Macaca mulatta: one gene and its partner. The protein of the gene in region 2 binds, or shares a complex with, the protein of the main gene of each other region. Links are inferred from orthologs where the notes say so. Each region holds a gene or a part of one and is shown on either strand. Other genes may lie near its edges.

Region 1 (8,023 bases), on a different chromosome or scaffold from region 2:
TTTCCCTGTGACACACAGAAGACACTTGTCTTTTCCTGGTCAATCTGTACTTGTGCAGGGTGTGTAATCCTTCAGTCCTTTCTCACAGGAAGCTGGTTTCCTCCACGGGCTCCCAGGTTCTTCCTTCCAAGGAAATGTCAGGGTAGTGGGACCTGGAAGCTCCATTTTCCACCGTAGCAGTTGGTCTGGGATAGCCACAGCCTGGCTGGCTGGGCCGGTCTGCTGGCTTGGGAATAAAATAATGCCAGGGGCCTCCCCAGTAGAGAAGCTCAACAATGCAGGTATGTGTCCTCAACTTATCTAGACATTCAGATTCTAAGGATACTGGTAAGAAGAGTATATGCTGTAAAAATTAAGATGAAAAATACCCAAATACAAAATAACATTATATTGGCTAATTTCAGATCCGGAAGCTCCATTTCTGCTTTAGCCATAGCCTCCTTTCTATTAGTCTATGTGATGGACAAGATGTGGCTACTAGTTCAGCCCCTCCATATTAGCTCTGCTAATTCTAAATGAATGGCACAGATATTAATACGAAGGACACTGTTATTTTAAGTCTGTTAGTTGTGGAAGAGATGTGCGTTAATGCAATTGGTGCTAAATTCAGGGCAGTCCAATTTTTCCCAATAAGGTTTCACTTTTCTCAGTCTGGGGACTAACCTTGGGGAGGAGCCAGCCTCTCCTGAAATCCCTCCTTCTGTTTCCTTATGTAGCCAACATGATCTGATTAATTCTCAATCAGATGAGCAAAACCCACTTGAAGAAAGATGAGAATCTTTGCCACATCCTTGCGGTCACAGTAATATACTGTACGAGTGCACATGATCAGTAATTTAGGGACTGTGCCCTGGAATGAGGCCTGGTCTTGAGTCTCATATAAAAACAGACCACTGTTAGGCATGAGGGCTGCCCCCCTCTTTGCTCCTAGGGTCCACTAGGATTTGTGCTATGGTAGGAAAAATGACATAGAAAATGACAACAAAAAAAAAGGCACGAAATATTCAAAACGTGGGAGGAGTCTACCAGGTCACCCAGTCACAAATAATCCTTGTTTTTGCTCTGTTCAAGAGTCATCATCATGCAAAGGTGCCTAAAAACAAGACTGGCCAAACTCCAAGCCTGGCCTTGATTGTAGCAGTAATGGATGGGCAAGCCCATCATCACACCAGTGTGATTTCCACATCTTCAATCTTCTCTGCTGGCCTTCGGTGATTCTGCATAGGTGGAGGGGGAGCTGCCCGGACCTGAGCAGGAAACAGTTAGGTAGATTGTCAGTCAGTTCCTGACTCAGTATCTGAAGCATCCCCAAAACCTAATCACTCATCTGTCCAAGGACGTGGGCACCCTAGGGGTCTCAGAAATGTTGTGAGCACATGCTTTCAACCTAGTCTTCGCTATTTCCTACACTGAGAAGCAGTTGTTCTCAGTGAAATATCAAGCCCACAAATCAGCCTCTTGTCTAGGCTAAAAACCTCATGGGCGGCACAAGAGTCGCATGACTAAGATCGTAGCACATCCTCCAAAGCAAAGGTCTGGTTGGAAGCAAGGGAGAGCAATGCTTAGAGAAATGAAACATTTCAGCATATCTTGGGAAGAGAGTTACAAAAGGTAAGGCTAGAAAGGTAGGCTGGGGTTAAGTCGTGAAGGGCCTTGTTAAACCATGTTTAAACATCTGCTTTAAGAAGAAAAAAATCTGTGCTTTATTCTGTAGGCAAAAGAGGAGTTTTTGATGGATTTTAAGCAATATCAGATCTGTGAAAAGATGACTCAGGTAACAATTAGAGAAAAGATCAGAGGCAAGCAAGAGTCCAGGTAAGAAGGCAACTTAGGAAACTTTTGTAGTCCTCTGAATGAGAGTTGACAATAGCCCAAACAAGGGTACTGGCAGTAGGGGAAGTAGAGAAGTGTAAAGATTTGCAAGCTGTCTGCAAGGTATATCTGGCAGGATTTCGGAATGACTGTGGGAGGCAGGGGTGGGAGGTATTAAGAATGATGCCAGAACACCAGTAGGATGGGGGTTCCATTTACCAAGATAGGCAATATGGAAAAAGGAACATGTCTGGGAGGGAACACAACTCATTTTTGCTGAGTTTTGGGGATCTGGGATATATAAACAGAGACATCCACAAATCTGAAGCTCAGTGAAGGGATCGGATTGGCAGTTACAAATCTGAAACTTGCTGGTATATAAATGGTTATCATAGCTGTGGAAGTAGATGAGGTCATTTGGTAAGAGTGCTTTCAACAACTTCAAGAGAAGCAGCCCAGGGACAGAACAATGAGAAGTATCAGCAGAGGCAGGTGGAGGCAAGGCTGCAAAGGTCCACAGAAAGGTAGGACCAGAGAGGAAGAAAGCAAACGAGGCAAATGTGGTAGAGAAGCACATCAGTCCACTGCTCTCTGTTCCTACTCTTACCCACCAGTCCATGCTGCCACCACCTCTTTCTTCGATGCTGCCCCAATCTCCTAATTGCTCTCTAGGTCCTTTCTGCCAGCCTCCATCCATCCTCCACTTAGCTGCCATAGCGATGCTATAAAAATGCACCAGCCACAACACTGTCCAGCTTACCACTTTACAATGGCTTCCTATCTCATTTGGGATAAAGACTCAAGTCCTTAAGAAGGCACTCAATACATATTTGCTGAATGAATGAAGCCAAAGGAAGCCAGTGGTAAAGGAATGGTATCAAAAGCTAATGGGGTCAAGGAAAACAAAATTGCAAAGTATCCAACTGGATTACCAATGTGCAAGTCATGATCTTGGAGTACAGTGGTGGGTGGAATGCAGATGGCAGTAGAGTGAAGGGTGAAGACAGAGGTAACTTTGCTATAATATATTCACCCGGAGAATAAACGCTCTTTAAGGCCATGAAGTTAGCTTATTATTTCATCTCAGTATTCCTCAAAGAGGCAAACAAAGGCCTGGAAAATTAAATGTTTACTCAAAAAAGTGTTTCACAATTAGCCCACTTTAATGCTCATAAAGCTTGTTCTAATCTAAATACACTTTCATAGCCATCATCTTGCAATCTCACTGTGGCTCAGTGAAAAAAGTTCTAGTGTAGATTAAATGTTCCAAGATGAGTTGATTTCTATGGCCTTCCTTTTCAATAGCTCTTTTTACCTTCCCAAACCCAGTTCATCCTTGTTTGGCAGAGTCAGTGACAATATAGGGGCCACAGGGAAACATTAATTCCTTCCTTTCAATTTGGAAGAATTATGCATTCTATAATCCTGCAAGATAAGAGACTTACAGGTCGCAGTTTGCCATGTGAGGTCTCAGGCGTATGCCTTGATGCCTGAGAGAATCCTGGTGACTCAGCATGAAGGCTGTTTTCTACGGGAGAAAACCAAAGAAGCTCATTTTACTTGAGTTGTTGAATAAAAATGCTGATGCAAGGCTGGCATTGTGGCTCGAGCTTGTAATCCCAGCACTTTGGGATACTGAGGCAGGAGGATTACTTGAGGCCAGGAGTTCAAGGCTGCAGTGAGCTATGATCCTGCCACTGCACTCCAGGCTGAGTGACAGAATAATACCCTTTCTCCACAAAAAATACAAAAATTAGCTGTGTGTGGTAGTGCATGCCTGTACTCCTAGCTACTAGGGAGGCTGAGGCAGAGGATCACTTGAGCCTAGGAGTTAGTTATCACTTGAGCCACTTGGTTAAGCTGTGAGCCTACTGAACTCCAGCCTGGGTGTCCAGCCTGAACTCATGCCACTGAACTCCAGCCTGGGTGTCCAGCCTGGGTGACAGAGTGAGACTCTGTCTCCAAAAAAAAGAAAAAAAAGCAAATGCAGTTTTGTTTGCCCTTCAGGCGAATATGCAGATTTCTGAAGTGAAAATGCATTTAGATCCATGCCCAGGAGAACCCTTACCGTTTGCTGAAGGAGACCGGGGAAAGTACAGGGAGCTCCTCTTATCTGGGCTGGGGTAGGGGCTGCTGGGAGGCTGGTCATACAACGGCAGTGGAGGCAGGGAGGCGTGTGGCTTGGGGGAAGGAGAGATCTGCAGCAAAGGGAAGTGAGGTTACCTGGTGCTTCTGCCCAGGAAGGACAGCCTGGCTGCTGCTTTGACTGCTCTGTACACATCCCTTTTCTCTGAAGCTAAGCTGACTACTGAAACTTGTCAACCTCATTAGAGGCAACTGAGCATTAAATAACCACCTCAAGCCCCAATTTTGCATTGCACTTCACTTTTTCCTCTTACAGATCTCATCACATTACTGATTTTAGTTTGTCTTAAACAGTTATCAAGTGATGCCACTCTCTAGGGTTCTATTGAAAATGTACCAAATTAGTCAATTCAGTAAACTTAGCAAAGAACACCAGCAACAAAAGGAACAAATTGGATTTTTTGGGGTGAAGATAAAATACCTTGATGAATTTCTGACTTCCCCAGGTTTTGTGCATGTTAGGCTAAGGGTCACAATCACCATGCAAACAAAATTGGCAAACATGTTCCTTCTTCCTCTACCTGTCTGGCCCGCAATGATAGATCCCTGAGGGGACAAACTGAACTCTGACTGAATTAGAGGTTCCTTTAAAGGCTGTTCCCCTGTGATAAACTAAGTCTAGGATCACTTGAGTGGGGACTGGGGGCTCTGGCAGGCTCATTAGTTCTCTGAAATAGATTGGCAGGACCTGGACTAGGCAAGGAGGCTCTGACAGTGAGGGAGAGAGCGAGCCAGCTAAGAGTTTTACTACGTAAATTAACCACAGAGCAATACCTTCCCTCTTCGGTTTGTTTTTCTCCACCTAAATGATCTTTGATATGTCACATATAATTTGGCATTTTGGTTAACCGATGCAGGGAAGAGAATGTGGGAAGATGGAGGTGTGGGAGGATGGCCATATTCCACAAGGGACTGACTGAGAAGTCTCTGGTTTCCCAAATTCAGTTGTGCAGACACTGGCAACCAAGGACCGGTGAGGGTAAGGCAGAGACTGCAGCCCACTTTTGTGTGAATTCACAGACCCCTTGGGAGCAATTTTCTTTAAACATCTTTTAATTCAACCAGCTCCCCTCTTAGGTACCTGAATCTCTCTCATCCATGGAGTGTCACCATTTTCTGAGGCTGAAAGTTCTTCCACTAGCACGGATGGGAAAACTCCAATACGCCCATTGAATTCCCCTTCCCAGAAGCCATCGTCGTCTTGGTTTTCTTTGTTCAAGATACGGATTATTGCTCCCTCAGGAAAAGATAACTCATCATCTGTCTGGCCCTCATAATCATAAAGTGCTTTCACAAAACAGACTAGGGAGCAAGAGAAAAACAAATCTGGTAAGATAATTAACAGCCGGTTGCTTCTGCAACCACCCCTATGCTCACATGACAACTAAAACAGCATCATACAGAATAGGATTAAAGTTGTAATTTTTTTACTCACGGATGATTAATTTTAGGGTTCTACTGTGCAGGACAAATGTGACCATATAAAGAAGAGCATATTATAGGACAGGGGGAAAGTTGTGCTTTTTATCCTAGTGAAGGCTTACTCCAGGGCAATACAGTTTAGGTCAAATGTGACCAAATAAAGAGTGCCTTGTTTCAGTCTTTACCACTGGCATCTCCGTTGAGGCTGCCTGAAACGAGTTCTGCTTCCGTGGAATTGCTGGACGTGTGTGACCGACTGTCCAAAGTGGCCAGGGACTGCAGCATGCTCAGGAGGCTGTTTGAGGTGGGAAACTGTAGGTACTTTTCTGGCACATAACCCACTTGGCCAACTTTATTTCGAGCCTGGGTAAAAGACATGTGACAAAACAAGTTTACACACACACAATTTAGACAGGGTACAACAAAGACCAAAACGAACTCCTAAAAATGTCACAAGAAGGGGCGATATGAGCAAAGGAATATACCTTTACCCAGTCTTCCATATCTCCATCTTCAATCACTTCTAACACCTCATGTTCCTCAATGGTCAACTCATCTGGTTGAGAAGCCTGCAATGTAGGATGGTCATGGACAAAATTAAAAAGGTTAGATAAGGAGCAGATGTGGGCTGATCATGACAAAAACTGGGGATCAAAATATTGAAATGATATTGAGAAACATGTTGAACATAAAAATTTAAATGCTGTAAAACTTTCATAATGAGGTGAAGTTTTACTTTAAAAAACTAAACAGAATAAAACCGTAACAAAAACCGAAGAAACTGAATCCTCAAGAGGCAATGAGGTTCAATGAACAGAACATGTGAGCCTGGGCAACACAGCAAGATCCCCATCTCTACCAATAAATAAATAAATAAATAAATAAATAAATAAATAAATAAAATTAGTCAGACATGGTGGAATGTGCCTGTAGTCACAGCTACTCGGGAGGCTGAGGTGGGAGGATCGCTTGAGCCTGGGAGGTTGAGGCTGCAGTGAGCCATGAGCATGCCACTGCACTCCAGCCTGGGCAACAGAGCGAGACCCTGTCTCTAAAAAAACGAACAAACAAAAAAAGAGAGCACTTCCTGGAAGTAGAGGACCTGGGTTCCAACTCCAGCTTCTGTATCAAGTTATTCAACTTGATGCCTCCATTTCTTTGAAATGACAATCCTGCCATTTTCTGGAGGATGTGAGTCAATGTGGGATGAATAAGCACAGAAGTGTGATGATTTGGGAAGCAAAAGCAAAGGAGAAGGCACTGAGTTGGAACTGCTACCAGAGGGCTCCCATGGACAAGCATGCAGTGAAAATGCAAAGAACTATGTACATGAATTTGATGACAGTGGGTGCAGTGCCTAGGATTGATCTGGAAACACTGTAAAGCAGTGGCTAAAAGAAGAAAATTGTAGGAAAGGAAATGATTGAGATCAGTCATGGTTTGGATTTCTTATGTTCCAACTTAACGGTGTGGAGACTGAGCTGATCCACTTGCGTGCTACTGCACAAGCTGCTAACCATAATGGTTTTCTTTTTTATCCCTGACAATAGCAGTCCACCAGCATCAGCCACCCACATGTTGCCCTTGAGACTGCCAAATCTGTAAATGCTCTGAGGCTCCACAGAGGGGCTGGAAAGTCCATGTGGCTTTGCTTCCTAACAGCCTTGCCTGTCACGTGTAATAGGCAGGGGCCTGCTGTCTTCTGGCTCTCTAGAAAACAGTCTTAAAAGCTTTTCTCAAGTCCCAAGATGGGTTAGAACCATCACTTAAAACCATAAAGTTTTTAAAATCTCAAAATCTCAAAGTGTAAAATTAACTCCAAGTTACACAAAAATAAGGCAAAAAAGGGGGTCATTTTCAAGATCAATTTCCCATTTTATGAACATTAAAACATTTCATCAAAATCCAGATTCTGGATGTTGCCATAGCTCCCTGAGACAGAAAAATTATATTGAGGATGGCTGACCAGTCACAGAATACTCGAAGGCCAGATTTTAAATTAACTCTTATCTCAAAACATAAGGAAAAAACCCCACTCATTTACCCTTGATAGCTTTTCCAATGGAATTCCTTCACTACTCTGAAACTACACTATGCCTTGGATATGCCAGCAAAAGGCACTTTTGTAATAAAAATGTTTTCCATGGCAAGACCTAGAAAGTATCAACACAACCAGACGTTAATGTATGTGATAGCAAACCAGGGAGGTAGTACACTTTCAAATAAACTGCTGCCCTTATAAAAACCTATGGAGAGGCTGAGTGAGGTGGCTCACGCCTGTAATCCCAGCACTTTGGGAGGCCAAGGTGGGTGGATCACTTGAGGCCAGGAGTTTGAGACCGGCCTGGGCAACATGGAAAAACGCTGTCTCTATGAAAAATACAAAAAACTAGGTGGGTGTTGTGGCACGCACCTGTAATCCCAGCTATTTGGGAGGCTGAGGTGGGAGGATCACTTGAATCAGGGAGGCAGAGGTTGCAGTGAGCCAAGATCACACCACTGCACTCTAGCCTGGGCAACAGAGCAAGACCCTGTCTCAAAAAAAAAAAAAAAAAAAAAAGCCATGGAGGTCCGTGCAAGTTTTTCAACACTGCAGCACTAGTTGTCCAATGTAAGCAGACACTAGCTTGATCATCCCATCCTA
Region 2 (8,023 bases):
GGCCAAAATAACATTTCTAGTTCACAGCCTTTTACTAACAGCTAACAGGGGTTGGAATGCCTGGTTTAAAATCTAAGCCACTGAGCTAGTGCCCCACACAGGGCTTCTCCAGCAGGGTCAGGGTGGGCCCCTCTGTTTCCCTTCTGTTTTTCAACTGCAAATTAAACTTTAGTACAAAAGGGGGAAATTTGCTGCTTAGTGCGTAGGATACAGACATGTTTGTATCTGTTTTTGAAGATTTGTGTTTGTGATGTTTTTATTTTTACTTGTAACTTACTGTGGTAAATTGTAGAAATTTGTGTCTGATTTTGTTACTGGGTATTTGCCTTTTAAATGTCAGTTAATTTTAGACTCCACAAAACAAAAATGACCAAATGTCCCAATGACAGCCTGTAAATTATAAAAGTTGGTAATTGAAATTAGATTAAGGCCAGGCACAGTGGCTCACGCCTGTAATCCCAGCACTTTGGGAGGCCAAGGTGGGCGGATCACAAGGTCAAGATATTAGGACCATCCTGGCCAACATGGTGAAACCCCGTTTCTACTAAAAATACAAAAATTTAGCTGGGCACAGTGGCACGTGCCTGTAGTCCCAGCTACTTGGGAGGCTGAGGCAGGAGGATCACTTGAACCCAGGAGTCGGAGGTTGCAGTGAGCTGAAATCATGCCACTGTACTCTAGCCTGGCAACAGAGAGAAACTCTATCTCAAAAATAGAAAAAGAAAAGAAAAAGAAATTAGATTAAAAAGACGACGAAATGGATACTTGAGACAAGTCGTAAGTCGTTAACTTTAGTGGGCTGAGTTCAGTTAACCTGCGGAGAGCTGTGCCTACTTTCTTATGGGTATGTAGAGTCGTCTGTTTGTTTTTCAGTGCCAGTGGGGAGGTATCTGGGGTCCCAAACCAATTTACATGATTGTTTTATGGTTTTCTTGGAGGTCAGACTAAGGGTCTCCTCCTTGGATGTACTGATTAATTCCATCCTTTTCTTACCTCCACAGTGTATAAAATGCTTTTATTATTCACACTATACTGCACTGAACTGTTAAATTCCTACAGAGTAGAAATAAACGTAAAATACAGAAAAATACATAAAATACATAAAATAGCATAATACAGAAAATAGCTTAATAAAATATAATATGTAATATATATTCCAATTACATAGATAAAAACTACTCCAAATTAACTTCAGAAATTAGATGGTTGTACACTATATATGGTGACCTTTATTGGTAGAAAATATAAAGTAATTTTTTTTTTTTGAGACGGAGTCTCACTCTGTCACCCAAGCTGGAGTGCAGTGGCATGATTTCAGCTCACTGCAACCTCTGCCTCCCTGGTTCAACCGACTCTCCTGCCTCAGCCTCCCAAGTAGCTGGGACTACAGGCGTGCGCTACCACGCCCAGCTAATTTTTATATTATTAGTAGAGATGAGCTTTCGCCATGTTGGTCTAGAACTCCTGGCTGGTCTAGAACTCCTGACCTGGTGATCCACCCTCCTCAGCCTCCCAAAGTGCTGGGATTACAGACGTGAGCCACCGTGCCTGGCCACTGTTTTTATTATGGTTTTTTGTTGTCATGAATAACAGTGTCCTTACCCCTCCAAAAAATGTTTTTATACTTTCCTAAAAGACATTTTAAAAATTGTAAATAAAATGTTTAAGATTTAAGTTTGAAGACTTCTGCATAAAAATTTCACATTCATACAGAGTAGCAATAAATGTAATTTTTTGACAATGGAGAATAAAAGTATAATTTGTTTCAATTATGTTCCCGTGGCAAATTCCTAATTCTAGCCAATGACCTGTGTGCGTTAGCCATGTCACAGGATGGCAGTTCAGGGTGGAGACTCTGGGACCAGGCTGCCTGGGATTGAAGCCCAGGCACATATGATTGTGTGATGTGGACAAGTCATTTAATATCTCTGCCCCAGCTTCCTTATTTGTAAAATGGGAGTAATACTAAGACTACCTACCTGATTCGCAGTTTAAAGGAGTTAATATATGGAGAGCTAGTTATTATTATATCATTTGTTATTACATATTAGTTTCATTTAAAGTATTTTCTGACTTTATAAAGTATTATAGAATGAGAAAAATCATTCTCAGTCTTTTACTGTGGGTTTCAGGTTGAGGCCATCAAAAATTACAAGGCCTAGATTTAATTACAATTATCTATTTGTGGTAGCTACTTAGAAAAACAAAATCAAAGTAGTTGAAGTCAATAAAACAATCCCTTGCTTTCAGCTTCAGGTTTGGGGAGCAACATGTATGCATGTAAATGTGTTGTACCCTTTGCTGGGGGGAAATTTTAATGATCTGATTGATCATGTACTTATTTTAAGTGATATTTCATTTACAGTGTTGGGTGTATTTTATTTTTATAGAAGTTATGTTCTCTGTGTTTTATGGCTCTGTTTGGTCAGTTTAATACCCGCTTTATTATTAAGTGTGTTTCTTATTCTTGTAACCACTTTATAAAATACATCAGAAATTTTCTGTGTTTTCCTAAATCATGTGATTTCTTCTCACTCAGAACTGAAGCCCTGATTCAGTTGCCCCGTCTGAAGAACAATGTTCCCTTGATGTTTCCCATCCCATTTACTGGATGGAGCTTTTTTTGTGAAAAGAGGCAACAGTAGTGTTAACTTAGAGCTGCTTCCTTGCTGTAATCAAGTGTGTTTGTTGGCAGACGAGCTCAGGAAAGGGACAAGCAGTGGCTGGAGCATGTGCAGCAGGAGGACGAGCATCAGCGACCAAGAAAACTCCACGAGGAGGAAAAACTGAAAAGGGAGGAGAGTATCAAAAAGAAGGATGGTGAGGAGAAAGGCAAACAGGAAGCACAAGACAAGCTGGGTCGGCTTTTCCATCAGCACCAAGAACCAGCTAAGCCAGCTGTCCAGGCACCCTGGTCCACTTCAGGTATTAGAAGCCAAAAATAATTCTAGAAAATAAGTCATCTTCTCTCCCAGATCCTCCTGAAAAACGCCCATATCTCATCAGGACCAGTCTTGGCTACATTAACAGATGAGAACATCAGTCTCTTATTTTGAGCATGGCAGCTCTTCTTTCCCCAGGGTCAGTTGAGATCTGTGTAATTCTCCCATCACCATGCCAGCCTCTGGCCCACGTTACACCGGCATCCACGAGTCCTCTACAGAGTTAACAAGTGGCGTGAAGTTCCACTGGTCGTATATGCTGCAAAAGAACCTGCTGTTTCTCTGGTTTGTTATTTCCCTCCCTGGAATTTCTGGGCTGTTTCTGCAACAGAAAGTGGCACCTTTCACCCTTGCCTCCACTGATGGGGTATTCGCTGTCTTCGGTCTGCATTGCATAGAGCTGCTTTTACTTTTTGAAAAGTGGCAGCGTTTTGTCCTTTGAACATAATTTGCTTTTTCTTTTCTTTACTTCTCTTTGCTTTTCTTTTTTCTTTGAGACAGTCTCACTCTGTCGCCTAGGCTAGAGTACAGTGGCACAGTCATAGTTCACTGCAGCCTCAAACTCTTGGGTTTAAGCAATCCTCCTGTCTTAGCCTCCCAAGGAGCTGGGACTATAGGTGTGCACCACCATGCCCAGCTAATTTTTTTTTTTGTAGAGATGGAGTTCTAACCTTGTTGCCCAGGTTGGTCTTGAACTCTTGGCCTCAGGCAATCCTCCCACCTTGGCCTTTCTGAGTACTGAAATTACAAGCATGAGCCACCATGCCTGGCCTAATTTGCCTTTTTTTTTTTAAAAAAAAAGGATAAATAAAAGACTGAACAAAAAGATAAATGAAAGACCGATCTAATTGGAATAGCTAGGAAAAGCTATCCTTTATAATAACAGATGTAAGCTAGAATGTATTTAAGATTCCTGTGTGGTTGTGTGATTGTACAGTTTTGCAAATAATGCTCAGCGGAAGCAAGTCGTTGCTTTTTCTTTGTGTGGAAAATTATACCAATTTTGCTTGGTCATCCGTGTGCTGCTTTAGTGCTGCGGTATACAGAAAGAAAAGAAAGAAAAAACACTTTCAAGCTATTCTGTAAAGGTTTACTGGTTCCCAGCTGCATAGTGGGCTGAGATGGGCGTGAGGTATGGAGATGCAGTAGGCACCTACCTGCCTTCAGATGCGTGCAGTCCAGGGGAAAGACTGGCAGGTCATCAGACCTACACAGTAGCAACCATGTCATAGGAGGGGCAAATCAATTTTTTGATAGTTTTTTTCTATCTGAAAATAATTTCACCATTGATCTTAGGCAGTTAGTTTAAGTTCTTCACGCGTCCTCCTAGTATAAAATGAAGATTTGTTTTTTCGCCTTCAGTCAGTAGGAAATCTTGCATGTCATACAGTTCAAAATCATGTGGAGATAATACTTTACCCTCATTGCTTTCTGGATAAGAGAGTTATATGTCAAAATACTTGTAGCTTTTGAGTAAAAATGCCCAAAGGTCTGTTATTAGTTGTTGCTAACCAGAATGCAAAATATCCTTTGCTCATGTGCATTTCTAAACATTTTGTTTCATTTAAAATCTAAATTATTTTCATCTAGGGTTCATCCTTAGGCTCATTATTTCCCAGAGAAATGTATAGGAAGAGTTTCTTCATTGGGGATTATCAGTATAACTGAAATCAGCACTTAGGTTTTATATGACCATGTTAAAGAGCCTAAAACATCTGCATTTTCATGTTTTGGTATGGAAACTGGTGCCTCTGTTCCCTCCCAAACAAGTTTGCTCCTTGGCTGATTCAGACTTTGGGTCGTATCCTAACTGCTACATTGTACTCAACACGCTGGGTAGGGAGGAGGGGGTATTGATGCTTTACAGATCTGCACTGCTAGAGCCCAAGCCAAGAGGCAGAGACAAGGGACCTTTAGGCAGCCTGGCTACACTCAGCCTTGGAATGACCTTTGTTTAGAGGGAGTCACCAATGAACTCTCTGATGGGTTTGAGTTGCTGACGTCAGATTTGGCTCTGCTTTGGCAGTCAGTATGTGTTTCAGAAATTCCTTGAATGGAGGGAAATAGTTCAGAGGTGAAGATAGGCAATAGAGGAGAGGTTAGTTGTTTGGCTTGTTGTCGTACATTTATGTTCTCTGTAATTATTTATTTTTGTCCCCCCACCTTTTTTGTAAACAGAAAAAGGTCCACTTACCATTTCTGCACAGGAAAACGTAAAAGTGGTATATTACCGGGCACTGTACCCCTTTGAATCCAGAAGCCATGATGAAATCACTATCCAGCCAGGAGACATAGTCATGGTAAGAAAGACTCCAGTGAGAGGGTCATTTCTGTTGAAGATTAGCCTCTGTCCTCTTGTTTCACTTTATTCAACAATTGTGAGATTGTCAGTGAGTATGAAACCCAATAATTCAGCATCTAGATTTTTAAAGTGTAAGCTCAGTCTTCTTTCTTTTTTATTAAAATGAAAGATGGCATTTAAAAAATGTATCCCAACATCACTTTAAAATTGAGTTGGTAAAGACAATGTGTTCTTATTTTTAAATCTATAAATGTCTGATAATTTCAGAGTTTAGATTACTACTTATATACTATGAGTAGAAATATATGAGTATAAATATATATGTAATACATATATTTTATATATGATGTATAGACTATATACTAGCATGCGTGTGTATATATATGTATAATATATGCTAGTGTGCATATGTACATATATATACACACACACTAGGATCCTCCAAAGTGGGAGGAGGCCAGGAGTCTTTAAGAAATAGTTATAAGTGCAGAACACCTATCATCATTCTCATAATTGCAATAACTTTTGTATCTTTGCATCAGAGCATCTTTTTTCCCTTTAATTATGTGAACTTTGAATTATGTAAAAAGAGTAATGAATTACACAGTTAATCTGCTTTCCTACTCTGAAACAGAAAATAATTTAAAATTTTACTTTGTTACTGTTTCTTTCCTTTAATTAATAACAATCTTATGATGTGACTGAAACTATAGGAACCAGTTTAAGAAAGAAAATCAAACAACATGGTTCATCTAAATCATTTTCTAAAAGAAAATAGTAGTTCCTTGTTCTAGTTACTCACTTTTAGAGTCTTAGAAGTCGTCAACTTTGCATTACTCTTAGCACTTTTTTTTTAAAAGATAATTTAGCTTTTTTTGTTGTTGTTGACACAACTTCTCACTCTGTTGCCCAGGCTGGAGTGCAGTGGCGTGATATTGGCTCACTGCAACCTCTGCCTCCCGGGCTCAAGCAAAGAGATTCTCCCACCTCATCCTCCCAAGTACCTGGAACCACAGGCGTACACCACCATGCCCAGCTAATTTTTGTATTTTCTGTAGAGACAGGGTTTCTCCGTGTTGCCCAGGCTGGTCTTGAATTGCCTGGGCTCGAACGATCCTCCCATGTCAGCCTCCCAAAATGCTGAAATTACAGGCATGAGCCACCATGCCTGGCCTAGAATTTGTAAAGAACTATGAAAGTTAACAATTGAAACAACATGTTTCTTGCCCAAGGACTGTATGTCTCTGAAGTATAAAGGGTGTTATACAGGTGATTATACTATTACTCATGCATTCATCTTGCCATATACACATCATATCTGTGGATCTTTAATAGGCTAAAATACGTAGAAATAACAGTATGTTTAGCACTTAGAGAAATCAATTCTTATGTCCCCTTTTTTCCTGATAGCGCTGTTTTCTCTGTAATTACCATGGGCTAGAAGAAGCAAGGCCAAAAATCCCAAATTATTTTTTCTTTTCTTTTCTTTTCTTTTCTTTTTTTTTTTTTTTGAGACAGAGTCTCACGCTGTCACCTAGGCTGGAGTGCAGTGGCATGATCTTGGCTCACTGCAGCCTCCACCTCCCAGGCTCAAGTGATCCTCCTGCCTCAGCCTCCTGAGTAGCTCAGAGGTGTGTGCCACCACACCCAGCTAATCTTTATTTTTTTATTTTTTTGTAGAGCTAGGGTCTCCCTATGTTGCCCAGGCTCCAGATCTTTAAAAGTTAAAATCACCTTAACAATAGTGAAAACCTCTTCAAATATACTCCATGGCTTCATTCAGCACACAGTTATTGCCTGAAACATGCTGGGTGCCAGCCTTACTCATCCTTTACAGAAAGAACTGTGGGTTTGGGCACTCCACTCTGCGCACACAGACGGTAACTCGAGCCAGCAGGGCATGTTTGTCAGCTTTCCTCTGACTTCACCACCTGCTGTTTCCTACACCGTGGTTTCTAATAGCCTGAAGCTACTTTCCCACACTGCCTCGTATTTGAAGTAGTGTATCCTGTAAAGCAGATTAATTGTAAAATATGTAAATACCATGTAATAGGAATCTAACATTTCTGAAAATACATTGTCACATCAGTGAGGACCTCATTACAATTTTTTTTAATGTTAAACAAACCAGCCTAATATTTTTGAAACTGGATTTTCTTGCAACACAAGGTGCAGAGAAGCAGCTCGCTCTCATCCTAAAGTAAGGGAACGTTGTGAAATGTTATGATAAGGAAATGTTGCAGGTGATCTGTATCTTGATGAGAAAGTGTTGCTCTTTTTCGGTAACATATTTGGGCTTCACCTATAATCCTAGGCCTGTTGAAACCTTTTCCTCGAATTGGCTAGTTAACCACCAGCTTGATGAGATGCGTAGAGTTTAGATATGCTGTAAGAATAAAGCATGTCATTAAACATATATTTTGCCTTGCTTTCAAACCTTTGCTTTCCTGGTGGAGGTTAAAGGGGAATGGGTAAGTGTTGCCTAACTGTCAGGAAGTCTGCATCTTATTCAATGTTTTGTCCTTTTAAGTCACTTGAATTCTGTGTAAGTACACATATCTCTGGGTGTTGTTGTGGCAGTAAAAATGTGTTTGAGTCTGTGTAGTAGGTTGTGCTTAAAAAAAAAAAAAGTAAGTCATAAGTCTTCTCAGTTTGTGTACTGGGTTTCTTTTTGCTAGATTCCTTTTAAGGACTAACTTGAATGCTCTGTGTTTGGCAAGGAATTGGGTCAAGTCTTCATCCCAGGCCATAGACAAAAAGGAGTTCCAAGTAGATTAAA

Evidence for each region.
Region 1: the proteins of ITSN1 (region 2) and FCHSD2 are in contact, whole or in part, in a crystal structure (PDB 6GBU), measured with the Homo sapiens proteins. The link is inferred for Macaca mulatta from reciprocal best matches to the Homo sapiens genes ITSN1 and FCHSD2. Residues at the interface, in NP_003015.2 of Homo sapiens: Pro1076, Ile1078, Gly1098, Leu1100, Leu1102, Gln1117, Ala1118, Arg1119, Gly1120, Lys1121, Lys1122, Arg1123, Leu1136, Ser1137, Pro1138; in NP_055639.2 of Homo sapiens: Tyr576, Gln581, Thr582, Asp584, Glu585, Gln602, Asp603, Asp604, Asp605, Gly606, Phe607, Val618, Pro620, Val622, Leu623.

The regions. Positions count from the first base shown.
Region 1 is NC_133419.1:73,178,523-73,186,545, forward strand, and holds part of FCHSD2 (F-BAR and double SH3 domains protein 2), read right to left. Parts: intron 5,949-8,023; coding exon 5,865-5,948; intron 5,743-5,864; coding exon 5,565-5,742; intron 5,260-5,564; coding exon 5,039-5,259; intron 4,011-5,038; coding exon 3,881-4,010; intron 3,341-3,880; coding exon 3,258-3,340; intron 1,248-3,257; coding exon 1,164-1,247; 3' UTR 1-1,163. UniProt on the Homo sapiens protein: Adapter protein that plays a role in endocytosis via clathrin-coated pits. Contributes to the internalization of cell surface receptors, such as integrin ITGB1 and transferrin receptor.
Region 2 is NC_133408.1:13,589,021-13,597,043, reverse strand, and holds part of ITSN1 (intersectin-1), read left to right. Parts: intron 1-2,695; coding exon 2,696-2,925; intron 2,926-5,120; coding exon 5,121-5,242; intron 5,243-8,023. UniProt on the Homo sapiens protein: Adapter protein that provides a link between the endocytic membrane traffic and the actin assembly machinery. Acts as a guanine nucleotide exchange factor (GEF) for CDC42, and thereby stimulates actin nucleation mediated by WASL and the ARP2/3 complex.